4 linked regions of the Stegostoma tigrinum genome follow. The protein of the gene in region 2 interacts with the protein of the main gene of each other region in a pairwise test. Links are inferred from orthologs where the notes say so. Each region holds a gene or a part of one and is shown on either strand. Other genes may lie near its edges. The genes, in order: pgap2, creb3l1, gpr25 and tmem218.

Region 1 (7,909 bases), on a different chromosome or scaffold from region 2:
AACACTAACTCCGATTTTTTCTTCACAGATGCTGCCAGACCCGCTAGCTTTTCCAGCAACTTCTGTTTTTGTCTCTGAGTGCCCTCTATTAGCCTGCTCTGTTATTGCCACGTTACCCAGATAAATGGCATCTTGGGGCAGACTTTGTCAAATGTTCTCTATAGTCCGCTAAAAAATGACACAGGCTGATGATACTCCAAATGGCAGTCTCGCATGGATGAATGGACTCTCTAGTCTCAAATAATGCTGATGTTGCTAACTTTGATCTCGCCTAGCACATGCAATGTAACCCATATGCCTCTGTCTACACACTTTTACAACCTTTGATCTGTACATCCTGGCTTACTAAGATCTGCCTGTACTGCTTGTAAACAAAGCTTTTCACTGTATTCCAGTACATGTAGCAATAAATAAATCAATCACAATTGAGGATAAGCATGGCTCATGTCACTTTCGTGGAGGACAGCCCCCTCCCCCATCCCCACCAGTTTTGCGTACAAGTCCTCTGTGCAAGAGATTAGATATTTATCCAGCCATGAAAACTGGTTTACCGTTTGTTTGAAATTCCCATAAAAGCAAAACAACCCTTTGAGCTTCATAATTGGCACAACCAGTGCTGCTCATTCTGCAAACTGCCGCTAGTTTGATGATTCCTTCACTTTCCAGGATCCTGATTTCTGCCTCTCTTTAGTACATAGGGTAAATGGCACTGGGTGGGCCTTGCAGAATTGTGGAATTGCTTTGTGATCAACATGTAAGGTGGCCTTGGCCCTTTGATAGTCCCTAGATCTTTTTGAAAAACCTCTAGGTGTTTATTTAGGACTTCACTCATGCAGCTGTTTTCTAATTGAAACATATTGCATCAGCGAAGTTGAATCTTTCTCAACCACATTCAGCCCATCAAGCTCAGGCCCAAGCCTTTTCCTACAATCAGTTGTAACTGAACCAGCTGCTTCTCCTAAGAGACCAGAACCAAAATTGTGCCCATAATCTGTAGAGGGTTCCCGGTACAGGTTTTCAGCCTGGCCGAGGTCTTACACAAACTTAAGGCTTGGAGTCCAGAGCAAATTTTAGTACAGACTGGTTCTGCAAGCACTGATATCAACCTCCAATAGAACGGAGTGACTATTTCACCAGATGCTTCTTTTGATAGGTTCTGATTTGGGTGTTGTTAAGCAATTGAACTGTTCCAAACCAGCTGTCAATGGTCTTTCCAGGGTGTGCATTCTCCTGGATATTAGCTTATTACTCAATTCAGGAGTGGTGTTCCCCCAAGCTCAGTCGGTCTGGCGAGGGTCTCCACTTCTGTTGGAATACCCCGTAACTCACAAGCTCTGCATGCTATATTTTCTAATGACAAAACCAGTTCTGGTGCCTGTTTGAAGTCTAGGTAGGCTTCAGCTAGTAGGTGCTTTTGCATGGTCTCATCATCAATCCCACGTACCAAACAGTGTCTCAGCATCTCTCTTAGGCTTCAACCAAAATTGCAATCCAACTCTCGTGACCACTGAAGTAACTGCACAAAGGTAGGTATCCCATCACCAAGTCACCCTTTATTTACACATGACCTAGATATCTCAGGGCTGGCACTCCTGTTTCTATCTGTCAGCCAGGTCTCCCTGCCTGGACCAGGTTCCCCAACAGGGAACTCATAGTCTATGAGATCCACCTGGCTGACCTTGTTCCAATCACTACAGGGTTGCTACTGACCAGAAACTAAATTGGAACAAGCCACATAAAATACAGATGCTGGGAACACCTAACTCCCCAAAGCCTGCCCACCACCTACAAGGCCCAAGTCAGGGGTGTGATGAATACTCCCCACTTGCCTGGATGGGTGCAGCTCCAACAACACTTATGAAGCTTGACACCATTCAGGACAAAGCAGCCCACTTGACTGGTACTACATCCACAAACATCCATTCCCTGCACCACCGATGTTCAATAGATGCAGAGATATCATCTATAAAATGCCCTGCAGAAATTCACCAAAGCTCCTTCACACAAGTCCAATATTTACCGCCCATCCTAATTGCCCTTGAGGAGGTGGTGGTGAGCTGCCTTCTCGAATTGCTGCATTCCATGTGCTGTAGGTTGACCCACAATGCCATTAGGGAGGGAATTCCAGGATTTTAACCCAGCAACACTGAAAGGACAGTGATATATTTCCAAGTCAGGATAGCGAGTGGCTCGAAGGGGAACTTGCAGGGGGCTGGTGTTCCCATGTATTTGCTGCCCTTGTCCTTCTAGATGGAAGTGGTTGTGGGCTTGGAAGGGGCTGAGTCCCCATCACTGGAGCCTGGCCAGTGGGTCACTTGATCCTGGTCTGTGGGTTACTGGATCATGTTTAATGGGTCACTGGTTCCTGGCCAGTGGATTGTGATTAGTGGATCATTGGATCTCAGTCAGAGGGTCCTAGTCAATGGATTATAATCACTGGATCCTGTTCGGTGGATTGTGGCCACTGGATATTAGTGACTGGGTTCCACAGTGGATCACGGTCCATGGTTCCCATCCAGTCGCTACTGGTCACTGGGTCCCAGTCAGTTGTTTATTGGATCGTTGTCACTAAGATTGGTCAGTGGGTTCAAGTCACGAGACATTGGTCAGTGGGCCACTAAATCACAGCATGATCAATGGATCCCGATCGATGAGGATCACTGCGTGTGGGTCAGTGGATCCCGGTCGGTGGGGTTCACTGGTTGCGGGTCGGAAGATCTCCCTCAGGCCGCGATCCGACGCCGGGTCTCTCTCACTCGGACCCCCTGACAGTGACGGACGGCCCCGGTTCTCACCTTTCCCCCATCGCGGGCCGTCCTCCTGGAATCACCGAACAAACTGCTCAGAAACCCCGGGAAATCCTGGCCTCGCGGCCCAGCCGCTTCCTAAAAGCCAGGTCCTCGAGTTCAGGACCATCAGCAGCGACGGCAACCGGCGAAAGGGGGCGGAATGGGGCCCAAGCCACCGAGAGATCAGCACCAGGAGGGGGCGGGGACTAGGAGGAGGAGGCGGTGCAAGGATAGACGTCGGAGGGGCGGGGCATGGAGAGGGGCGGGGACTGGAGTGAGGGGGCGGAGCCTTGTGGTTTGGGGACTGAATGGGTCTTAGGGAAGGATGGTGTTGGTGGGAATTAGAGGGTATGGGACTGGAGTGGGTCCTTGGGGGAGAAGAGTGTGGCCTGCAGGAAGGGAGGGATGGTGTGACCTGGAGTGTGGGAGTTTGGGGAGGGAAAGGGGTTGGGCCCTGTTTTCACAGCGAGCCTCAAGGCGTTTGATGTCTTTCTGAAGCTCCTCCAATTTGAACAGTGTTGGGCTGGTGATTCCCAAATGTCTGTGGGAATATAGCACTTCGCCAGTGAGGCCAGGCCATAAGGATGTCACTGAAGAGTGCACAAATATAGAATTTATAGGCAGAGAGATCAAAAGCAGAAATTTCTCTGCCTATAAATTCTGCATCTGTGTGCACTTTCTCACTTCACCCAACAAAGGGGCTGCACTCTGAATGCTTGTGATTTCAAAGAAATCTATTGGACTATAACCTGATGTCGTATGACTTCTGACTTTGTCCGCCCCTATCCAACACCAGCACTTCCAAATAATGCTCTCAAAAGCATCCAGTAAGGTTTTGTCAATGGTTTGGAGTACATCCCCTGAGTCTGCATACATCAAAAGTATGAACATCATCATCTGTTAATGGCAGCTGGATGACACTTATTGGGGTCATTTTGGTTTTGGATATTGACTAATTTCCTGCTGGTTCTGTGAGTTAGCCCCACTCCAGTGGAGTCTTTGTCAATGGTGAGTTGAAGCATTGAAGTGAGGTAGATCAACAATAGTGTTGGGGCAATGATGCAGCCCTGCTTGACATTGGTCCGAACGGGGAATGGGTTGGTGGTGGCACCATTTCTCATCATGACTTCCATGTCATTGTGGAGCAGGCAAAGGATGGTGATAAACTTCATTGTGCAGTCAAAGTGGAGAAGGATGCTCTGTAATGGTACCTGATTGACAGCATCAAAGGCCTTTGTAAGATCAGAGAAGGTCACTTCCAGAACAAGTAATACAACAGAGAGTATAGAAAAGGGCAGGAATCTAAATTCAGGCATTGCAGATAATGGGATAACTATCGGAAGAGGGACTGATGGTGTTACACTTAAATAAATGCAGCAAATGAAACAAGGTAAATGAGTTTCAGAGATAATGGGAACTGCAGATGCTGGAGAATCCAAGATAACAAAATGTGGGGCTGGATGAACACAGCAGGCCAAGCAGCATCTCAGGAGCACAAAAGCTGACGTTTCGGGCCTAGACCCTTCATCAGAAAAAGCTGACCAACTGAATATCAAATCAACCTTCTTCTCTAACCCTCCCTCTCAAAGGGGAACACGAGAACTGGAAGACCACTATCTCAACTTGTGAACCCTGGTAAGTTGAACCAACCAAATGCATAACATCCAAATCTCTAAGGAAGAGCCACTGGACCCAACACGTTAACTCCAATTCCTCTCCTCAAATGCTCATTACCTGCTGAACTTATCCAGCAATCTTTGTTTTTGTTGTACTATATCTGATTCTTTCACCTTGTGAAAATGGTGGCCATTGAACAAGAAGTTTTGTTTTTTATTTGTTCATGAGATGTGGCTGAGTTACCATTTATTGCATATTGTTAATTGCCCAGGGGACAATTAAAAGTCGACCACATTGCTTGTGGATCTGGAGATCAGGTATGGATGTCAAATTTAATTCCCCAGAGGGCCTGAGTCAACCAGAAGGGTTTTGTTTTGCCAATTAAGAGTGGTTAAATGGTCCCTGTTACAATAGCTTTCCATTCCAGATTTTTATTGAATTCATATTTCACAATCTGCTATGGAAGTATGTCCCCAGAACATCAGCCTGTGGTTCTGGATCACTAGGCCAATGATATTACCAAGAATAGCAAGGAATGGTGTAAGTTTTTGTCTCCAGTATGTAGGTATTGATTCAGACAGCCTCTGAGAGGGTGTCTTTCTCAGGCGGAATTCAGTTTAGCCACTCTTATACTCAGCTGGGTGCTGCCCATCTCTGTTTCACCTATTTCCAACTTCTGTCCCATGCGTACGGGAACTACTGACCTTATACTCTCTCAATATCATGTACGCATACATTGTTTACAATTCATTCTTGTTCAGTAAACAACAATCTTCTGTTGGTTTGGCAAAGTTGGGCTGGGCGTTACCAGTGTACGTTTGGGATCTGAGGATTTTGCTGAGGGGCAGCTTGGAGGTGAATAATAGGAGGAGGGGATCATGGACAGATCTTCAGGAGACCTTTGTAAAGGTACCACACAGAAGGCTGCTAAACGAACTAAAAGCCTATGGTGTTTGGGCAAGGTACTGGCATGGATAATGTGGAAAGAGGCCATTTGGCTTGCATAGACCCTCCAAGAGCATCCCACCCTATCCCTGTAACACCAGGCCATGATCATGGCTAATCCTCCTAGCCTAAAAACATCCCTGGACCATGGGAGGAAACCGGAGCACCCAGTAGAAACACACACAGACACAGGGACAACATGCAAACTCCACACAGACAGTGACCATGCTTGGGATTGAACCCATGTCCCTGGCACTGTGAGCCACCATGCCACTCTGAGAGTCCAGAGAAGGTTTACAAGAATGATCCCAGGGATGAAGGGCTTGTCATATGAGGAGCAGTTAAATACTCTGGGTTTGTACTCAGAGTTTAGAAGGATATGGAGTAATGTGATTGAAACTTACAGAACTTCAGCAACAAACCCAAACAAACAGACAAAACGGGCTCAGAAACCATAACCACTCTCCCCTACATCAAAGACATTTCTAAAATGACTGCCAGACTACTCGGACCTCTTGGCATCAGGGTAGCCCACAAACCCACCAACACACTAAAACAGCAGCTAATGAACTTAAAAGACCCTATACAGACAACAAATAAAACGAACGTCATCTACAAAATACCTTGCAAGAACTGTGACAAACACTCCATTGTACAAACTGGCAGGAAGCTAGCCACCAGGATACATGAACATCAACTAGCCACAAAACGACATGACCCACTATCACTCGTATCCTTACATACAGATAAGGAAGGACACCACTTTGATTGGGACAACACATCCATCCTAGGACAAGCCAAACAGAGACATGCACGAGAATTCCTAGAAGCATGGCATTCCAACCGGAACTCCATCAACAAACACATTGACTTGGAGCCAATCTACCATCCCCTGAGAAAAAGAACAGGAAATGACATCACCAACCCAAGGAAACCTAACCAGATAAATAGAAAGCGGGACATAACACCAGCGCTTCGTCGAAGGCTCACTGATGATGTTACCTAGAATGGTGACGAAACGTCTGAAAACTAACCTTCCAGCTCAGCGAGCAAACTCACATCCAGATCCTCAACCTGAGCTACAAATCTTCTCAAAACTCACTTACAGAATACCGACAGGGCTGGATAGAGTGGATGTGGAGATGTTTCCATCAGTAGGAGAGATTGGGACCTGAAGGCACAGCCTCAGAGTGAAGGAACAACCCTTTAGAACTGAGATGAGGAGGAATTTCTTCAGCCAGAGGGTGGTGAATCTGTGGAACCCATTGCCACAGAGGGCTGTGGAGAACAAGTTATTTAGTGCATTTAAGACAGAGATAGATAGGTTCTTGATAAGTAAGGGGATCACAGCAGGGAGAAGGCAGGAAAATGGAGCTGAGAAACCTAACAGCCAAGATAAAACAATGGAGCAGACCTGATGGACTGATTGGCCTAATTCTACTTCTTTATCTTATGGTATCATAGGGGACCAGAGGAAAAAGAAAGAGAAGCTGCTGTAGGGCCTCTTTCCATGCTGTTTGCACTCTGACTCTGACTCAATGATAAGAGAAAGACCAAAGACCCACCCTTGCATGAGCTTCAGTTGTCATACAGTTTGACTAAAATTCAGTACCATGTGATAGAGGTTCTCCAAATGAACAATGTGAAAATATTGGTTTTGCTCCCCACTATAAACTCTGGTCACTGGCTTCCAAATCCATTCCTGGCCCTTACACCGGACTGAGACTGAAACGTACCAGTTTAAACCTTAGTCTCGCATTCAATCCCATGATGACTTTTCAACCAAATTATCACATCACCCAGGTCCCTAATATTGCCTGGATTCATCCCTATCTCCACACATCTGCTTCTGGAACCTTCATTTATGCTCAAGCTCTGATTACTCTAATGCTCCTCTTGCAGGATTCCCACTTCCTATCCTCAGTAATTTGCAATAACAAAAAGGTAGAAACTTGTGGCAAACCCTATTCACCCTCTGCTCCTGTGTTCCTTGATCCATGTTGGTTGCTTCGATTACAGGGTTCTTTAACTGGTGTTTAACTCTTTCCGTGGCTTTGCCTCCTCCCTATCTCTGTCATCTCCTTCAATCCCACAACTCTCTGAAATCTGTTTGTGTAATTCTGGCTTCTTAAATGTCCCTGATTTTAAGCACTCGACCACAGGCACTGGCAATGATGTCTTCATCTGTTTGGGCCCTCTGCATCACTTGCTCTCTTTCTTTGAATGAGGCAGGTCTTGATGTTTCTGTATGTCCTTCTGCACGTGCTTCAAAGCCTAAATAAGTACAAGATGATGCACAAAATTTTATTGGAGCATGGAGAAAGAGAGACAGAGAAAACTCAGGAGAGAATTCCAGAGTGCAGAGCCCACATTGCTGAAGGCCACCAATGGAGTCATAGAGCTGTACAGCATGGAAACAGGCCCTTCGGTCCAACTCATTCACGCTGACCAGACACCCCCATCTGACCTAGTCCCATTTGCCAGCATTTGGTCCACATCCCTCTATTCACATACACATCCAAATGCCTTTTGAATGTTGTAATTGTACCAGCCGCCAC
Region 2 (7,016 bases):
CGAAGTTGTTAATTGAGAGAGAAGAAACACGTGCTAGTAGGAACATATGCACGTTGCGACGGGCACACTCGAACCACAGAGCCATCAACAAACAGCCACTGAGATACACTGGCAAAGTCATACAGGTAGTCCAAGCACACAAATAGACACAGGCACACACAAGGAAACAAAAATGCAGGTGAAACAGAACAGAGACATGAGTGTGCAAAGACTTTGTGCAAGTTGGTCAAACTCAACATTTGGCTATGAGCAAGCAGGGAATCACCTGGAATAAAGGACACAGGCCAGGATATGCAAGTCAACATCTCTGACAGTGCAGCACATTCTGGATACTGAAGCCGAGATTACAGGCCCATGTTTCTGAACTGGGACGTGTAATGACAACTTTGTAACTTGGAAGATGCAAGTGCTAGCAAGTCGTACAACCCAGGTATGAAACAGACTAACAGCAGGAACTTAAACAGGAGCAGGCCAAAAATAAACCAGGAAGAAAACTGGTAAATACTGAAAGCAATTAGGAAAATGAATCTAGAGCAAAAAAAACTAGCAATTTCCTGAGAGCAAGCTGGGAGACTCATATAGGAAGAAAATAGGCCTAAACACAAAGCCTAAAGCAGAAACAAAACTAATAGTCACCAGGGCAAAACAGGAAAATACTCAGAAGAAGCAAACGTATAAATCCAGGGTTCAAGTCCCACCAGCTCTAGAAGTGTGAGAGAACACTGTTGAAAAGATCAGTTAGAAAATATCTATAAATTTAGAACCAGAAAGTAGCAGGAACAGATTAAGAACCAGTGAGGGTTGCACTGGTTGGAGGAGCGATGTGAGAGTATGAGGCTTTAGAACAATCAGCTTGAATGACCAATAAGACATCATCACGAATACAACTTTCGCTCCATCTTACCAAATGTTAATGTAGAATCTATAGGTGATTAAACAGTATAGACATGACTCAGCCACACCATCCCAGCCATATGGCAATAGATGCATCTATATAATAACTGTAAAGAAGTATTTAAAGATTGGGTCCATTAGCCATATAGTGGAAAATAGCAAACAATGGATATTCATTAATCCAGTGATAAGTATAATACAGACAGTATTAAATGTGTATAGTTTTTTCATATGCCATATTCTTTATATACTATATTACAATATATTAGCAACACATGCTATATAGAATGGTGTAGATGATACAGTATAGTACCATATTTGCATTTGTTCTACATAATGCAATGGACACCAAACTGTTCCACAGATGAAATCAGAGCACATTAACTGTTCCTAATCACTTTAACAGAGCTTGCCTGTCTCACACTCACACAGGACTGGTCCTGTTCACTGCACTGCATTCTAAAAACCTGCACTGCCCTCCCGCATCCTAATGGAGCTGAATTGTCTCCCTTTACTCCACTGGGACCAGACTGACTATCACCAGCATTTTCACACAAACACCTTTCTTTAGGTAAACATCTCCTGAATTGAAAAAAAAATTATTTCTCAAATACATTCCAAATGTAGGTGCTCGGTGCTAAAATTCATAATGTACCATTCTGTTATAAGCTGCTTTATGTGGTGGGAATTCCAGCTCCCCAATTATTATACTAACTCGCCAGCAAATGAGCCCTGTTTTCTGAGCTGTGTTCCATATAAAATACAGCAGAGAACTCCAACTAAGTGGAATATCCTGCAGTAGGATGTGCACAGCTGGTTTCCTTTCAAGCAGACATATAAAGTGAATCCACAACGGTCTGAGTCAGCTCAGAGACACTGATTACAGCTGAAGTTTGTATTAGTATTATCAAGAGCCGGTTGACATTTCACTTTGTTGGGGTATGGTTTAATTGAAAACCACAGAGAAGGAAAATATGTCTTGGAGGGGTAGCACATCTGTGTGAGTAAGTGTTTTTGTGTTACATGACTTGGTGAGTAACTGAATCCCTGGGAGTTTGTGTTTGTGAGGATCCCTGTACCTGTGTGTATCTGTCTGTACAAGCTTGTCTCAGTGTGTGTGTTTGTGAGGATCCCTGTACCTGTGTGTATCTGTCTGTACAAGCTTGTCTCAGTGTGTGTTTGCAAATACATTTGTGTGTACTCTGTCTGTGTATGTGTGTGCGTGTGGTTTCTGTCTCCTTCCTCACTTGTATCTGTGTACGTTTATGTCAGTTTCATTATGTGTGCCAGTATCTCTGTGTCTGTATGTATTTGTGCATTGTTCATGAGTGTTTCCGTGTGCATGTCTGTGCGTTTCTGTATTTTTTTAAATATTTCTGTGTGCAGTGTGTTTCCGTGGTTTGTACATTTCTGTGGTTTGTATATTTCAGCGTGCATGTCTGTTTTGTTTTGTCAGTACATTTTTATGCCTCTTCTATGTTTCTGTGTGTCCAGTATTTTCGTATAGAGTTTGATTTGTGTGTGTGTTTGCGTGTATTTCAGTCCTGGTCTGACTGGAACAAGCACAAGATGAAGTGGAAAAGTAGTAGGATGTTGGAGATGGAGAGAGAGTGCAGAAGGAGCTCTGTACAGAGAAGCGAGCTGCTTAGCCCAGAAACTTACCACATTGGTGAGGAAATCGGCTTCGTTCAAATCTTCCAAGTCCACAAGGCTTGAAGCTGCGAAGAGTTTCTCTACTCCAAAGTTATCCAGGATATCCATAGTGGCTGACAGAGCTGGGGAGGGAAAGTGGGGGTTGTGGTTTAGGGGATCCGGTGGGATCGTGCACGATGCTGGAGCTCAGGGGAATAGCCTTTAGGAGCCCGGGCTCTTTAACCCGTGCTCCGGGCTTTGCTAAAGGCTTCCCCTGCCGTTCGGAAAGCTCGGGCTGTGCCGGTGCAGCTCTCGCTGTGTCTGGGAGCTCTCTGATGTCTGTGTTTGATGTCAGTTTCACACAAACTGGTAGCCAGCTGCAGATTCTGGGCTCGGTCTCTGTCTATTGGCTGTCTCTCTCTCTCTCTCTCCTTCTCCTTGTATGAACTCCGACCCAAACTTCATCTGACTGTCACTAGCCAGTTCACACACAGTCCTCACACCTCCCCACCCCCCACCAACCCCCACTCCAAGACATAACGTCACTCCCCTCTCTGCACTGTTAACCTTTTCAGTTCTCTGAGCCAGCAGCTGGAGAGCAGGTATTGTGTTAAACCTAGATCCCTCTCCCTCACAGTGCTGGGGGCAACTAGATAGATGTACAGATAACTTCAAAGTGCCAGCTGAAGGGCAACGACGGACCAATTTGACACCTACAAGAATAAACCTCCTCCATTCCCCAGCTCCGTCCTGCTGCCCTTGTCCACTGGGTAAAGCCCAACTGTTGCCACAGCATCACCATTTTTAGCCACCTACACCCTCCTGTAACAGGTAGTTTTTGACTTGATTTCTTATTGTGATGTGCCAAAAGTACTGTTTTGCCAGGCAAATTGTACCCTACATCAGGGCAATAGAACAGAATGCCGAATATAGTGTTACAGCTGCTGAGAAGGTGCAGAGAGAGATCAGCTCTCATATATGAGAGGTCCATTTGTAAGTCTGATAACAGCAGGGAAGAAGCTGTTCTTAAATCTGATGGTACGTGTTTTCAAATTGTTGCATCTTCTGCCCGATGGAAGAGGCTGGAAGAGAGTGTAACCGGTGTGGGAGGGGTTGATTATGTTGGCTGCTTTTCCAGGCCAGTGGGAAGTGTGGATGAAGTCAATGGAAGGAAGGCTGTTTCTCGTGAGGGACTGGCCTATGTTCGCACTCTCTGTAAATTCTTACAGTCTTGGGCAGAGCAGTTGCCATATCGAGCCATGATCCATCCGGATAGAATGTTTTCTATGGTGCATCCATAAACGTTGGTCAATCCTTGTGGACATGCTGAATTCCCTTAGCCTTCAGAAGAAGTAGAGGTTTTGGTGTGCTTTCTAGACTGTAGTATTGAGGTGGATGGACCAGGACAGATTGTTGGTGAGCCTTACTCTAGGAACTAGAAGCTCTTAACCACTTCCACTTTATCTTCCACCCTGCTTCCTGAAGTCAATGACCAGACTTCACAAGCACATGTTCTCTGTAGCCACGTCAAATTGCCAACCAGGGAAGTGCCCACAATATTCTGCATTTTCCCACTGCGTTTCACCAACAATAAAGGTCATGGTACACCTTCCGAAGAAGGTCGCCATTTTAGTGTGGTGGACACCATCCCAAGCCGTGAGAGGCCAGCATCCATTACCACGGTTCTGCCCTCACTGTCTCTCAGAGCTGGGTTAGGATATGGCCCTCATCCTCACTTTTGACCCCACCATATTCAAGTCAGCATCTTCCACCAGCTCTGGCATCATGTCACCACTGAATGTGACCTCCCAACCTGACCCACTTCTATCCAAATTCCATCAGGGACACCCTGGTTCATCCTTAAACACCCCCCATCCATCACTCATGCAATTACAAGAAATATAACAGATGCTCCCTACAGCCTTTAAGACTGAACATTGAATTCAGCAACTTCAGAGCAGGAACTGAGTCCAACAATTTTGTCTTTTTTTGACAAATACCAGTGGCATTGTTTTATGCCTCTGCTCTAACTGAGCTGTGCTTTATTGTGCTATTAACACTGGACCAGCGCTTTTTTTAAAACTACAACCATTACTGTTCCCTTACCCTGCTTTCCACAACATCTTTGGCATTTAATGTCCCCTTCCCAACCCTTCCTTTAAATGCCTCCTGTTTGTTTCAGCTTCAGTACGATACCCATCGCATTTTCTCCTCTCTTTCCAGTTCTGAAAGGTAGTCATCCTGAAAGCAACTTCACCTCTCTTTCTCAGATACTGCCAGACCTGCCGGGTCCTTCCCTGGCTTTCTGTTTTTACCCACCCCAAAGACTTGATGTGCCAAGACAGCGACGTCTTAACAAGGCTGAACGTTTTTAAAGGGTAGGAGCAGAAATGAGGTAAAAAGAGAGTTTGTAGAATCCCAATGGCATGGAAGTAGGCCATTCGGCCCATCACGTTCACACCATCCCACTGAAGAGCATTCCACCCAGACCCTATCCCTACATTTCACATGACTAATCTATTAACCTGCACATCCACGGCCAATCCCTCTGATGTGGACATCTTTGGACCGCGGGAGGAAACTGGAGCTCCTGGAGGAAACTCCCACACACACTGTGCAAACTCCGCAGAGACAGTCACCTGAATCAAACCCGCACTCTGGCCCTGTGAGGCAGCAGTGCTAACCACTGAGACGCTATGCCACTCTCTGCCATCGCAATTCATAATTCCGTGCTGCAGTGTTCATGTAGATGTGCATATTGCAACAACAACATGAACTCCTTGTGTGACTGGACCCACCATCTCACGTGTCACAAGTGAGTTACACACCGAGTGTCTCCATTTATTTAATTTGCTAGTTAAACACACAGTTAGCCATATGTCGCTAGTGACTGTGGCGTCGGACAGCATTGTAGCTGCGAGGAGGTTGTACCTATTATAAAGGAGGTAAAGGACAGCAAAGGATTGAATGGGGAGCCTCCAGGAGAAAGCTCACATATGCCCCCTGGTGGACGACCTGCTGAAGACCATCTTTGCTCCCCCAGGTCATGCAGGTACATGGCTGGAGGAATATCATGAAGACAAAACAGGAATGAGGAGAGGAAAATAAACCATCTTCAAGGGAATTGCAGAGTTAAGAATTTTAATGGAATTCTGTCATTCTATCGCACAACAATTAGAGCTCTAAGTGTGGAGAAGCTGTCTCTGCAGCTGTGAGATGTAAAAATAGATGTGTATATTTTGATGACTGAAATGGTCTTTAAGTCTAAAAGTGTCCTGTTTAAAAAAATGTATATATTTCTATTTTTTGCACTGAAAACAGAGCTGTTAAATATAGCAGATCAGGCAACCCAGCAAACTTTGGCAGCTTTAATTATTCTGTGGGTTAGACTGAACTGTTGTTGGAAACAAAAGCAAAACACTGCAGATGCTGGAAATCTGAAATAGAAACAGAAAATGATGGAAGCAACATCTGTGAAGAGAGAAACCGAGGTAATGGGTCACAGGTTGCCAAGGAAGATAACAGATTGAATAAATACCCATTACTTATGGTTGAAAAGGCATTTAGCACGCTTGCCCTCATTGTTCAGTCCTTTGAGTATCAGAGTTGGGACATGATGGTGAGGTTGTACAGAGCACTGGTGAGGCCTCTTCTGGAATACTGTGTCCAATTCTGGTCACCCAGTTATAGGGATGATATTATTAAGATGGAGATTTACCAGGATGCTGCTGGGTATGGAAGGTTTCAGTTGTAAAGAAGGGCTGGATAGGCCGGGCCCAAAATGTCAGCTTTCGTGCTGCTCTAATGCTGCTTGGCCTGCTGTGTTCAACCAGCTCTACACCTTGTTATCTAGGGTAGGCTAGGACTTTTTCACTGAAGTGTAGAGGGTTGAGAGGCAACCTTATTGAGATCTGGAACAAATCAGAGGGGTATTGATAAGGTTAATGGTAGCTGACTTTTCCCAAGGATGGATGATTTCAAGACCAGGTTAAGGAATTGGGAAGTAAGCAGATGGTGGGGGAGCAAATTAGATTGAGTGAGTTTGAAACCAAATCGGCTGCAGAAAAAGAAATAAAGAGAGATAGTTGAATATTGGTTTAAGAGAAAGTAAAAAGTGAGTCAAAGGAACAAAAGGAAGAAAAGAACTTAATAATTAAATGTGTTCTGAGGAAGGGTCACTTAACCCGAAATGTTAACTCTGCTTTCACTCTCCACACATTTCTACAGTAAAAGGAGAAAGACTTAAAAAAAGACAAAAAGACAAATTTTTTACACAGAGGGTGGTTTGCGTATAGAATGAACTTCCTGAGGAAGTGGTGGATGTGGGCACAATTACAATGTTTAAAAGACATTTGGACGGGTACATGAATAGGAAAGGTTTGGAGGGATATGGGCCAGGAGCAGGCAGCTGGGACTGGTTCACTTTGAGATTATGTCTGGCATGGACTGGTTGGACCGAAGGGTCTGTTACTATGCTGAATGAATGTGTG
Region 3 (6,377 bases), on a different chromosome or scaffold from region 2:
TATTTTGATGGAGGAACGTGTTCCAATGAGTTAATTGCTAAATACACATTTGTGGCTTGCATAGCTGCATGTCTGTTACTAGTTTCCTCTGAGAAGTAATCAGTTTTGTTTACTTTTTAAAACTTTAAGTTTCAAACTTGCAATGATAGCAGAGAACAAGAACCAAGGGAAAAAAGGTAGGTTTGATTAAAAGTTTATTTAATTCGATATAAAACATTAAAAGCAATCCAAATACTTTGGTTACATGTTAAGAAACATGCATTGCTTTTCAATGACGACAGAGCAAGCTGATCTAGACGTTCGACACTCGGTGAAAGTGCAAACGCAAGTCAACTATTCAATGCAACACATTTGCTCTTTTGTCGAACAGAATTGGGCTCAACCTCCCCAATTTTCAGATACATTTGTATGAGAAGCTTGCAAAAATCTCTTTTCGAACAACAGCCCTTTACGTTTTAGCTGTAGACAGATTTAATCAGCAATACCAGCTTGTCTGGTACCTGTGTACAGATAACATTCACTGTTGCGACAGAAGACTCTGTATTCTAAGCATTGTGCTGCTCTCTGAAGGTGTTGACCCAGACCCAAAGCTCCCGCTTCTCTTGCCCAGACCGGCAAAAACATAAGAAGTGAGCCAGCCAGTTCTCTGCCTAAAATTCCTGTCTAAAAATGCATAAATGATCGGGTTCACGCAGCTATTAATGAAAGCAATGCACGAAGCAATGGCCAAGCCTCGGCTCACTACTGTCCAGCAGGACAGGTCGGTGTCGCGAAACTGCAAATACAGAGCAATCGTTTTGAACACATTAAAGGGCAACCAGGACAATACAAAAGCCGACACGATGGCGAAGACAATTTTCAGAGAGTTTTCCCGTCTCTGGATGGCTTTCGTGCTGTGGCCATAATGATGCCGGAGCTTGACAAGGATGGAGCAGTAGCAGAACAGGATAATGATAACAGGCAGGACAAAGGTCAGGCTGACAGCGGTCAGATTGAACACTCGGAGGAAGAGGGAATCCGTGTCCTCCCTGCACTGGGTCACGTTCACTTGGTCAGGTTTTCGAAAGTAGGCGGAAGGTACGGCCAGAAGCAGAGAAGAGACCCAGATCATGACACTAATGGTCACGGCGTATTTCTGGGTTCTGAGGTGCTTGAAGTCCCGTAGTTTCACGATGGCTAGATATCGGTCAATACTCATACAGGTGAGGAAGAAGATGCTGGAATACCTGTTGACAGCAACAATATAGCTGCTGATCTTGCAGAAGGCGCTGCCAAAGTTCCAGTGATGGTCGCTGATGGCTGATGCTGCCCAGAATGGCAAGGTGAAGACAAAGATTAGATCTGCAAAGGCCAAATTAATCACAAAAGTATCTACCAGTCTCTTCCTCCTCCTTTCTTTGCAGATCATTACCAGGATGACAAATATATTCCCCAAGGACCCAACGATGAAAATCAGGTAGTAGAGAATTGAGATTGCGATGTTGAGGAAATGTAAATTCTGAGGAGGACAGATTCTTCCGTCTGTGTCATCCACATAATCGTTGTACTCCGAATAGGGAGCATACTCAGAAACTGTGTAGCCGTGCTGCTCGGTGACTCCAACTGTAGCGGACATTTCGGTTCTGGTAGCTGCAAGTTTGCTCTGACTTCGAAGTAACTTATGCCAAGCTGCCAAAAGAATGGTTTCAGCAATTTCCTTGTTTTCGTCCACACAAGTGTCAATGGCGCACTCAAAAATTCGAACTTCTGCAGTTTGCAAAGTAGAGACGGTCTGAAATATTAACGGAGTACAGAGATGGAAGCTTCAAATCCCCCCTTTTTTATAGTGGTTTCAAGTTAACTGATCTGAAGCTGTTTCCGATGTCAACATGCCATTGGTCTGGTGGCACAGGAAATAACAGTACATGATGAGGTCGGGAGGTTGGTGCAACACTTCTAACTGCTCCTACAATCAACTAAGAGAAGCAACACCGAAATACACATACCTCATCCTTTTATAGATTTTTAAATAAATGTTAAGTCCTTACTTTTATAAGAATATACTTTATGAGTCAATACAATGAGTTATTCTTCATATGATATGAAAAATGGAAACAAATGTTCAAAAAAAACTTTGGCCCCATGGTTTCAAAAGTTCTCAGGTTCCCTGTTGTGCACACTAGATCATTGTCATCTTGCCCATCCAACAAATTACAGTGCAAAAATGCTTTGAGCTGAAGATATCAGGCAAAGTCTAATTAATGGCACACACCACGAGATACTGTATTCCAACAAGACAAGATTCCCAACATGTTTTTACCATATCAAAGCTGCCCAAAATAACAAAATTAATCAAAACTAATCTAATATTTTAAATTCTATGTGTGTTTCATTAAGTATATAATCAAGTTTGCTTAGAAATTGTTTTTTTCTTTACAGATCTACATTTGGATATCTTGCAGGGTAGATGTTAACTTGTTAAGTGTAACAAACTACAGAAACCCATATAAGAATGCTTATGAAAGCAGATTCGAACATTAGCAAAATTAGATTGCATGGCTTGATAAGCCAACTTTATAAGCATGCTATCAAATTGGACTAATATACATTTATTTTGATATACAAGAAAGATCAGTTATTTGGATAGACTAGCAAAGCTGAGATCATTGTTCTTAGAGCTGTAAAGGTTAAGGGGAGATTTAATACAGATATTCAAAACTATGAAGGCTTTTTGTCAGAGTAAAGAAAGAGAAACTATATCCACTGGCAACTGTGTCAGTAATCAGAAGACACTGATTTAAGATTATTGGTGAAAACACCAAGGAATAGATAAAGTGTTTTCTTTTTCATAATAAGGGACAAGGGATTTTATTTTTATGATCCGGGCTGCACTGCCCAAAAGGCTCAAAAAGTAAACGTTTTTAAAGTAATATTGAAAGAGCACGGTGCTGAAGATAATTGGATAGCTCTTTCAAAGAGTATGCACTTAAACACGATGGGCTGATTGGTCTTCTGAGCTGTACAATTCTGTGTCATTACTCGTATCTACTAACTAATGTATTAATCAATATTTCTGCAAATCACATTAGGCAGAAGTGACCCATTTTAAAAACTCTGCCATCACATTAAATTATTTACACAACGGGAAAGTGCTCAACTGAAACCTCATATTCACAGTTCATATTCATCAAAGTACCAGCACCCAAAATATAATCATTTGTGGTTACTTTGTGCAAATTCAGTTAGGCATGAACTTCATGTAACATGTTATCTTTCTGTTTAGTTACAAACACATTGTAGGTCAGGTTGACCTTTTTTCAGTACATATATTAGACATGCTTAATTTTACTACTTTGTAATACAAGGAGTATTAGCAAATAAATATTTTAAATAAATATTACAGATCAATTCATGGGCATCATCTAAAACCAATTTATTTCTTACTTGAGTATTTTTTTCTCAACAAGAGAAAATAGAAGTTCAAATTGCAATTGCTAAAATTAATATATTACTGATCGCTTGGAACATAACAAAGGTAACTCCATTATATATCTGAGGAAAACAAGCGAGGATGTTTTCTTTGTTGAAAAATATTGAAAACTGTGAAAGAACAAAGATATTTAAATGCTTACATCCACGAAAGCAGTAACAACTTGTGCAGACGTTTAGCATTTAGTAGCTGATGAATGTTGGTCTTTCTGTCAAGGCATGTTCTTTTTGTTGCAATACATAAGTAGGAAGAGATATTCCAATTATTCAATGCTTTGGCTGGACACTACCTGTATACCCTGTACAGTTTGGGGCTTCAAACCTTAAAAACATATTTTAATCCTAAAAAGGGTATGAAATAAACAGAAATAAATTAAACTGAATTATGTTGTATCCATGATCTAATTGAGAGGCAGGATGGGTTCAGTGGGCTATTTGTCTAATCCTGTTCCTTTTGCTTCTATGCATTGTAGCTCATCCCCTGCATTCCTGCAACAATGCATCTCATCTGATTTGTAATGTAACGTTACTTATTCATCGTATGGCAATGATTTTTAAGCATTAACTGTCTTGTCATAGTGGATTTATTTAGTTCAATTGTTGATTTGTTGCTACTCCTGGACTATAATTATCTATGCAACAAGTGTGTATCTGAAATAAAGGGCAAAAGAAGACTTCAATTTATAGCAGAGAAGATTAAGAGGTGACCTTATTGAGGTATTCAAAATTACGATCAATTTTGACAGAAAGATATTCTGCGTCCACTAGTAGATATTTGAGTGACTAAGGGTTACAATTTCGAGACTATCAGCGAGAGAGCCAGAAGTGATATGAGAAGAAACTTCTTTACTCAAGGAGTTGTTCTGATTTCAAATATGCTGTGTGACAGAGTGTTTGAGGTGGATTCCATGGGAGGTTTCAAAAGGCAGCTGGATATATAGTTGAAAGTGCTAAATTTAGAAGGGTACAGAGATAGGGTAGCTTGTCCGGGGGACGGTACAGACATGATGGGTTGAATGGCCTCCTTCAATATGGTAAAATTCGATGATTCTCTGTAAATGTTTTCTGTAGAACTGTTTCCTCATGACAAGCTAATTTGCTTCTGTAGTCAAAAGAACAGTGGCAAATTATTTGTGGACAAAAAATGTCACCATGCATCTTCTTCAACAAAGCAGCATAAATTCAAACTATAAAGGCAGGTACTTGAATTGCTCATTCATAAAAAATAAAGTGTAAACAATTAAAAAGTTTTAATCTACCTAAAACTGAAATGCCTGCACCAATGAAAAGTTTCAGAAGAATAGAAATGCATCAAAATGTTGAAATGATATAGTTTTAAATCCTTGATATTGAAATTGCACTCAAGTGAGCTAGTTGTTTAACTTTTGCATCAATTGCATTGTCCCTGTTTCACATCTTCTCTTCTTGTTTCAGACACGTATTGCATTTTAATCTCAAGATCCCTTCTTTGAATTCACAATTGATGCATTACATCAGCACATGCTATTCTTTCAACCCCAATTCTAAACTGAATTTGGAAGCTCACTGTCACCATGCTAGTCATCCTCTCCAATAATCTGTGTCTCTGATAGCTCCATTCATTCTTCATCCTGCTAGCCCTCTGCTTATTATTACTATAGTCCTTCCTCATTCTATGTGTTTATTAATGCTTTGATCTCACATCTTGCATGCCAACTTCATTGTCCTTGCTTCATTCTGTTTTACTAAGCACAACACTATAAATAAATTGAAAACTTAAATGATTGATTTGAGCTTAACTAAATAATTCTTACTACGAGAGACATTGAAATGGTAACACCAGTTCAAGGAGCATGAATGACAAACAGTCAAGGGTATATATTTCCTAGCATAACTGAAGATGTATCATAATAAGATTTGGACAATATTTATAATGAAGAATTTTACCAGAAATAACTTCACAAATTATCAAGCAAATTCAGAAAGATATGGAAAATGAACAATAAAGTTGAGATTATTTCTGGAAATTAATCACACTTAAATAAAATACCAAGGAGAAATAATACATTCCATTATTGATTTACTTGAAAAATAATCCCAATATGAGAACTCTAAAGCCTTTGTAACAAGTTTTAAAAAAACACAAGCTCACAGATACAGTGCAATATTACAGAAAATCCCCAGGCACTTATCAAACATCACATGTTATCACACTGTGTTCCCTATTCAGTTATTAACATCTTTGTTGTGTAACGGCTTTAAAGATATCACAGTGCTGCTTCTCACAGGGTATAGATAGCACTGTGTGTGTGGAGTTAGTCAGTTAGAGCAAAGAGAGAAGAACCATAGATCACTGTATCTGAACAATATAACAGTCAGTCCTGATTGTGGTATTCCTCTGATTACTACGTAGAAAGTATTAGCATACAACAAATAGAATTCTATAGAAGCCGAAGCACGAGGGGAGTTCTTACCTTTCCTTCCTAATTAGGCTGTCTTGATTCCAAATTTTCAGGTGTTGCCTTAAAACTGCACAAAAGAACATTCACTCAAGAATTTTTGCTCTAACCCATCTTATTCTTTGAATTAATTTAGCCATCAACATTTCCAAGTTTTGGTGACTTAGCTGATCTCAGCTGTTGATGACCTTGATCTAATCAGGTTTGGAAGGTGAAAATTATCCAGGGTTCTGGCATGATGAAGCTTGGGTGTGACTCATCAGCTGAAACAACTTGCTAATTCTCATAATTGAGAGGCAGCGGCATAATAGTAACTTGACTAGTAATTAAGAACCCTAGGCTGATGCTGTGTGTACATGGGCTCATAGCCCACCATGGCAGAGAATGAAACTTGAATTTAATGAATATCTAGAATTAAAAGCTAGCCAAATGGACACCACATAAACACTGTTGGAAAAATCCACCTAGCAT
Region 4 (7,540 bases), on a different chromosome or scaffold from region 2:
GTCATGTTCCTTGTTTGAAAACTAAAAATTACATTAAAATTACAGTAAGGCAAATCAATTTAAATATTGTATGGTTCCACCAGTGACTGTCTGGTTGCCAATTCTCTCAAGAAAGAATTTGCACTGACCTTTCAGCTGTGGCTCCATTGGTAACAGTCACACTTCTAAGGTACGAGGATTTGAGTTTAGGTCCCACTGTAAGAGTGAAGCACCAAAAGCAACAGTCCGATGTAGTTTAGAGGGAGTGCTGAATTATCAGAGAGGCTGTCTTTAAGATGAGATGTTAAAACAAGGCACCTGTTTGAGTGCATGTCAAATATTCCATGGCAGTCTTGAGGCGAGCAGGGAATCTAATCCTGGTTAATAAAATGTGGGGCTGGATGAACACAGCAGGCCAAGCAGCATCTCAGGAGCACAAAAGCTTTTGTGCTCCTGAGATGCTGCTTGGCCTGCTGTGTTCATCCAGCCCCACATTTTATTATCTTGGAATCTCCAGCATCTGCAGTTCCCATTATCTCTGAATCTAATCCTGGTGTTTTGGCCTACATTAATCCCACAATCAAAGTCACAAAACAGATCATCTGGTCATTATCATCATAGTGACCGGAGTGATATCAGCCAGGTATCAGCCTTATAGAATATGAGTTGCCTGATTGGGGCTGCTAGCCTGGGCTAATCAGGGAGTCTTGCTGACAGAATGAAACAGGACTGTCAGAGATTCTGTTCATTCTCAGAGCTCGCACTGAACTGGCTGGGTCAGTGTTATGTGCTATGCATGTGTAAATAACGGGTGACTTGGTGATGGGAAACTGGCCTTCATAGAGTTATTTCAATCACGTTGCTGTTTGTGGTGGTTTGCTGTGTGCAAACTGGCTATGAAGTTTCCTCCATTACAACGTGAAATATATTTCAAAACTCATTTCATTGACTAAAATGCAATGAAATTTCTGGTGGTATGAAAAGTGCTTTGTAAATATAAGACTTTCTTTTGTTAATATAGTGCTTTGTGAAGAACTTTTGTTTGAATAGCAATTTTCATGTAGTTGAGATATGCCAAAGTAGTTTAATTTACAACCAATTACGTACTTCTGAAGGGTTGTAACGAAAGAAAAATGGAAGATAATTTGCATTCAGTACAATCCCACAAATAGTAAAGAGATAATGACCAAGCATTAGATTACCTTATAGATCTGATCACTTCAGTAAAAAGAAAAGTGACCATGGTCCTCAGAAGATCATGGATTGTGCTGAGTTTAGGCTGAGGGTCACGCTTTTGGAGGGGTGGGGCAGGGGGAGCTGGGATGTTAATAACCACTTTAGGTATAGGTAACTATATATTAACTCTACATTAGGTCACTGTACGTTCACTCAATCAATTAGATTACTCTGTACATTAACTCTGTGTATTGTTGTGAATTAATCAATATATTAACACTGAATATTGTCTCTTTTTGATTAGCCCTATATGTTTGATCTGCAGTAACTCTCTGTATGTCATCTTTGTATATTAAATCATTATGGATATCAACTCTTTGTATATTAACTTTGTATGTTAACTCCCTGTATTGTAACACTCTTCAATGTTAACTCTGAATATTAACATTGCAACCAGACCTGACGTCAGGTTCCCCAATTTGTTATAGTTCAAGATGGGATACCCAAATTGTTAAGCTCCTGGGTGAGGAATGAAGAGTCTCCCTTTCTTTATTCACTCACCTTTACAGTCACAACACCATCGTGAAATATGGATCAATCTCTGAATTGTTCATGAAGACCACGCTGCTGTGTGGATAACATCAACTTTGTCAGTTGACCAATCAATCTCAAGATTCTTTGTTTTGTAAGTCAATTGAAATTCCTTTGACTGGTTTCTCTTGAACTTGTCAGAGTGAGAGACAGTCTTACCTTCTTGTTTTACTTGCAGTGCATTGTGATTGTTCTCAAATCTGTAGCCTTCACAGCTCTCTCGCCTACACATTAAGATGTTCAGACAACAACATAGGCAGGCTAGTGTTGCATGAATTTTATGAACTCTTTCTTTAGATATTTCTTAAGGGTAAAACAGATGTGTCTGCAAGAATGGATTTCTGCTGAGAGGGAAGTTCGTCAGCCCTCTCATCATCTCTCTGAAGGGTCACTGGACCTGAAACATTATTGCTTTTTCTCCACAGATGCTGTCAGACCTGCCAGGTTTTTTTTTTAGCAATTTCTGAATTTGTCCCTTGTTAATTTCTCGTTAATTGTCTTCCTGATTCCCTGACTGTTTGTAGTCACGACATTCCCCTGGCTTCACAATGGACTTTGCCAGTCACTGAATTTAAGGAGTTACTCTTTTTCTATAGCAGTTATTTATTTTAAAGCTTGGTATTAAGTAAAACATGTCTGTAATATTTCGGAATTCTGACCTGTCATCATAATGTTAGCTTACTCTCTATATTAACTCTTTGTATATTATGTCTGTATTTCAAGTCTCTGTATAATAACTTACTGTATATTAACTCTTTACATTAGCAAACTGTAAATTGAGATCTTTTCCATTGGTTGTCCTCATATAAAGTCTGAATATTAGATCCTTCTGTATATTAAGTCACTGTATATCGAGTCTGTATTAAAACTGTATATTAGAGCACAGGACATTAACTGTGTTTTATGTCACGGTACATTAATTCTATATTAGATCATCTTGTATATTAACTATGCATATTAATATAGATATGAACTCTGTATATTAGATCCCTGTTTATTAATAAAGTATATTAGATAGCAGCATTTAAAACTGTACATAAAGTTGTTCCGTGTATCGACTCTCTGTAAATTAAATCTTTATATTACTCCCTGTGTATTAACTCTGGATATTGGATCACTCTGTACAATAACTGCTTATTAAATCAGTGAGAGATCACCATCAATAGATCACTGCATATTTACTTTTTGTATAATAAGACTCTAATTTAGATCACTGCACACTAATTTTCTGTATATTAATTCCATACTGTTTAGTTGGCTGTATATTAATTCTGTGTAACTCTAAATATGATGATTATACATTAAAGCTGTATATTAACTATATGTTAGATCACTGTATATTACCTATCTTTATATTAATTACGCATATTAAACGATTATATATTCACTCATATTTACTATTTTAGATGACTGTATATTAACTGTATATTAGCTTTCTATATTTGATTACTACATTCATTCTCTGCACATTAATTCCCTATATTACATCATTGTATATTTATTGTATGTTGATTTACTATTTATAAACTCTATATCCACTGTGAGTTAGATGACTATTAGCTGGCTGTATATTAACTCTCGATATCAGATCATAGTATGAACTCTTCATATATTAACTATATCAGATTGTGACAGCTACTGACTATCTTAATTATATCAGAGATAATTGGAACTGCAGATGCTGGAGAATCTGAGATAACAAAGTGTAGAGCTGGATGAACACAGCAGGCCAAGCAGCATCTTAGGAGCACAAAAACTGACGTGTTGGGCCTAGACCCTTCGTCAGAAATGGGGGACGGGAAGGGGATTCTGAAATAAACAGGGAGGGAGGGGGAGGCGGATCAAAGATGGATAGAGGAAAAGATAGATGGAGAGGAGACAGACAAGTTAAAGAGGCAGGGATGGAGCCAGTAGAGGTGAGTGTAGGTGGGGAGGTAGCGAGGGGATGGGTCAGTCCAGGGAGGATGGACAAGTCAAGGGGGTGGGATGAGGTTAATGAACATCAAGCAGATGTTCACCTGCACATCTGCCAATGTGATATACTGTATCCACTGTACCCATTGTAGCCTCCTCTACATTGGGGAAACCAAGCGGAGGCTTGGGGACCACTTTGCAGAACACCTACGCTCAGTTCGCAATAAACAACTGCACCTCCCAGTCGCGAACCATTCCATCTCCCTCTCCCATTCCTCAGATGACATGTCCATCCTGGGCCTCCTGCAGTATCACAACAATGCCACCCCCTCCCCCATTTCTGATGAAGGATCTAGGCCGGAAACGTCAGCTTTTGTGCTCCTAAGATGCTGCTTGGCCTGCTGTGTTCATCCAGCTCCACACTTTGTTATCTTTAATTATATCAGATTTCTATATTGGCTTTATATTAACTCTTTACAACAAATTATTTTATCAACTAATTATAAATTAACTCTTTATATCAGATCATTCAAATAATTCTGGTATATTATCTCTACATCAGGTCACCATATTAATTGTCTGTACATTATCTCTATATCAGATCATTTTATTGACTGTATTTAACTTTCTAAATCAGATCACTATATTAACTCTATATATGAACTCTCAAATTACTTTATTTACTCTCAGTATATTAATTTTCTTTGTTAGATCACAAGATGAACTCTGTAGATTAATTCTGTATCAGATCACTATGTTAAATCTGTATTCACTCTTGTTGCACTCAGACGTAGACAGTTACCATGGCATTTTAACCTGAATGTATGGGAGCCTCCTATTGGTTGAGACACCCTTTGGGCCAATAGGCGCGATGGATGTTGCAAGGTGCTGCTTCTGCTGCGAGTTGCTAGGCTGGCATATGCAGGTTTGAATTCATCTTCATTCGGGGAGAGTATTGGGTATTGGTAAAAGGCAGATTAATGATAATGTTGGAGCTGCTCTTTTCAGACTAGAAACCGCATGCATGGAGCTAGCCATTTTTTGAAAGAGTTTGGGTCGAGGTGAAGAGATGGGTGTTATATACCCTCTAGTTGGATCAGACAGTAGCCCATCAGGTACAGAATGGTGTTGGGAAGTTTCCCAGAGGGATTGCACTTTCTGGAGAGGGGGAAGATGTGTTTGGTGATGGAATAAAAATGGCAAAGCACTCTTGGAAGGCACCGTGCCCTGTAAACTTTACGCGCGCACAACTGCGAAGTAGCCCATATTTAACAAGCTTTAACAGCATAACTCTTCAGTAAGTTGGCTGTGTATTTCTTCCGTAAAAAAGTTATTTCTGCTGGAAGGTGTGCACTAGAGGTTCTTATATAGACGTGAGGAGGCAGTCAACAAAATACGCAATGACAATGGGACATTTCCAGGGTCATGTTTATTTAATGAATAAGCATCTCCGCTGCTCTAGGACGGATGGTCCGTGTCTCCATCAGAACATATTCAGCAATTGAGAAACTGGGTGTAAGGAACTTGGGTTTTTCGCATGAAGCAGAGTGCAAAGACTTCTTGGTACTGATGAACATGCAATTCATATCTGGAGAAACAAGTTTTGAGACAAAGAAGTACTGGAAGCAGAGGGAAAGGAAGACTATCTGAAGTATAGTAAATGAAAAATAACATCCGGACTAGAAGCGGAGTAACAAACAGCACTGACACCTCAATTTGTCTTGGATGGGGTGAAGGAGCTCGTAAAAACCGAAAGAACTGTGGATGCTGTAAATCAGGAACAAAAACGAAGTTGCTGGAAAAGCTTAGCAGATCTGGCAGCATCTGTGCAGGAAAAGACAGAGTTGATATTTCGGATCCAATGATCCTTCCTCAACAGGAGCATGTAATTGATCCTAAAGAGGATGAGACAAAGAAAGCTCAAAATATCCAACAATCAGAGATGAAAGAGAAGGAATTTTCATAGCTTTTAGTTGGAAGAAGTGTGTGGCGTTAAAAGTTTATTTTTCCAAAAAAAACGTGTATCTAACCGTGATTGACATTAAACTCCACAATTGTAGTTGCAAGGAACAGCAGAAGAGCCAGAAAAGAAATTTAAACCAAGTCTCAGAATTGGGAAGGCATCAGAATCTGGAATCAAAATATACTTAGATAAATTTAGTCAAAGGTGTAACAGAACAAGAAAGGTCTGGAATAATTAAAGATTTTAAATCAACATAATTAAGTAATTACATTTCAGTGTCAACTGAAATATTTTAAAAGAATGCAGCAAGAAAACATACATTAAAAATGTGCAGAAGATGATGCTTGGTGTTTTGAACTGTGAAAAGGAATATCCATTTCACCTGAAAAGAACTAAAAAATCTGTCTTAGCTGCAGAAAGTTACAATGTCATCAAAAAAGTAGGTAGCTATCATTTTGATTATTAAAAGGGGTGGGAAATACTCTGAAAGAAGTGGAAAAACCCAGGAGGTAGTAAAGAGATGTAGTATTACAAAGAAATGGATTTAAAAACCACTCATTTGTTACAGAAGAGTGAATAGTACTAATTAAAGTCTTATTAAGTAATTAATACATTATAATAGGAATAGCAGTAAAAAGACTGGGATGTCAAAGAAAATACTGTAACATTGCTGTGATGGGGAGTTCAGCAAGGTCTGTTTAATTTACAACTGCATATGTGAATGCAAGTTTGAAGAATAGAGTTATAGAATATTGAATTAACACCGATTTTAAATTTATCTACATTAATAAGATTAATCAGTACCTTGTGGGGAAAAAATGGATAAAGATGTAAAAATATTTCCAAGCTATTCAAAGGTTGAGAAGGAGCATGCAGAACACAAGACTAAATTTCATTGGAGATGACAGTTCTTCAAATGCAGGATTGCTTCAAAATCAAAAATTAAATGCAGAAGTAGCTCACAGTCACGCTGTTGCAGAAGGTGAGATTGTATACGCAAGGACCTTTAGAAAATATAACTGAAGCATCAGAGAGGAAGTTGGTGATCCCAACCATCTGGGATTCAAAGAAGAGAGATAACAAGGTGTATAGCTGGATTAACACAGCAGGCCAAGCAGCATCAGAGGAGCTGGAAGGCTGACGTTTTGGGCCTAGACCCTTCAGAACACCCAAAGGGCCATGCTGTTTGACGTAATGACTAATCTTTGAGCCTTACAGCCCACATACCATAGTCTTTGCAGACGAAGAACATGTACACACATTATGCCCCTTTCATCTTAATAGGTGACGAGTATTCTTTGGTTCATTCCTCAGCAAAGCCTTGACCAATCAGTGTCAACCTTTTCGTCAGAATTTAAAAAAGCTTAGTAGTTATTGAACATTGTTTAACAGGTGCATTCTGCATGACAATGTCTGTACCAGTTAGAGTTCACATGCTGTAGTGGAATAACTGTCAGAAGCATAGAAGTCTACAAATTACAGAACACTAAAGTGGACAGAAGAAAGTTGAAAATGTGTAAATTGTTCACAACCAAGAAACTTCACGTTAAGCCGGCAAACATGTCACATCTTCAACTTTCTTAGGAGAGTCGAAGGAGTTTGACTACCTCCCAGAGAACAGTTGATCCAGAAACAAACAGTTGTCATCCAGGCTGATCTTGGGGAAACTTTCACTGGGCTTCCTAGATGTGGTGGAACCTACAGGGTTCTAATAAATGTACTATAGTTTTATACATTGTGTAATGGAGTATACCATGAAAAACAAAAATTTGGAGTGGGAGATGTTGGATAAGGTAATGGTTCTAAAAGAGGTTAATGTTTTTGTTACATTGGTTCCACCCATTTGACTGATGTTACGTACAATTTGTGGGTGGAGATGAGATCTACGCAAGCTCTCAGGGAGAGCAGATGTATCTG

The links.
Region 1: the proteins of creb3l1 (region 2) and pgap2 interact in binary tests that used the Homo sapiens proteins (3 or more experiments, as listed by UniProt). The two-hybrid records come from large-scale screens. The link is inferred for Stegostoma tigrinum from reciprocal best matches to the Homo sapiens genes CREB3L1 and PGAP2.
Region 3: the proteins of creb3l1 (region 2) and gpr25 interact in binary tests that used the Homo sapiens proteins (3 or more experiments, as listed by UniProt). The two-hybrid records come from large-scale screens. The link is inferred for Stegostoma tigrinum from reciprocal best matches to the Homo sapiens genes CREB3L1 and GPR25.
Region 4: the proteins of creb3l1 (region 2) and tmem218 interact in binary tests that used the Homo sapiens proteins (3 or more experiments, as listed by UniProt). The link is inferred for Stegostoma tigrinum from reciprocal best matches to the Homo sapiens genes CREB3L1 and TMEM218.

Annotation. Positions count from the first base shown.
Region 1 is NC_081359.1:111,740,147-111,748,055, reverse strand, and holds the start of pgap2 (post-GPI attachment to proteins factor 2), read right to left. Parts: upstream 3,021-7,909; 5' UTR 2,807-3,020; coding exon 2,796-2,806; intron 2,735-2,795; exon of another isoform or gene 2,021-2,734; intron 1-2,020.
Region 2 is NC_081370.1:475,814-482,829, reverse strand, and holds the start of creb3l1 (cyclic AMP-responsive element-binding protein 3-like protein 1), read right to left. Parts: upstream 3,022-7,016; 5' UTR 2,656-3,021; coding exon 2,557-2,655; intron 1-2,556.
Region 3 is NC_081374.1:27,294,685-27,301,061, reverse strand, and holds gpr25 (probable G-protein coupled receptor 25), read right to left. Parts: upstream 1,812-6,377; 5' UTR 1,616-1,811; coding exon 518-1,615; downstream 1-517. UniProt on the Homo sapiens protein: Orphan receptor.
Region 4 is NC_081385.1:30,801,477-30,809,016, forward strand, and holds the start of tmem218 (transmembrane protein 218), read left to right. Parts: upstream 1-4,525; 5' UTR 4,526-4,585; intron 4,586-4,935; exon of another isoform or gene 4,936-4,957; intron 4,958-7,540. UniProt on the Homo sapiens protein: May be involved in ciliary biogenesis or function.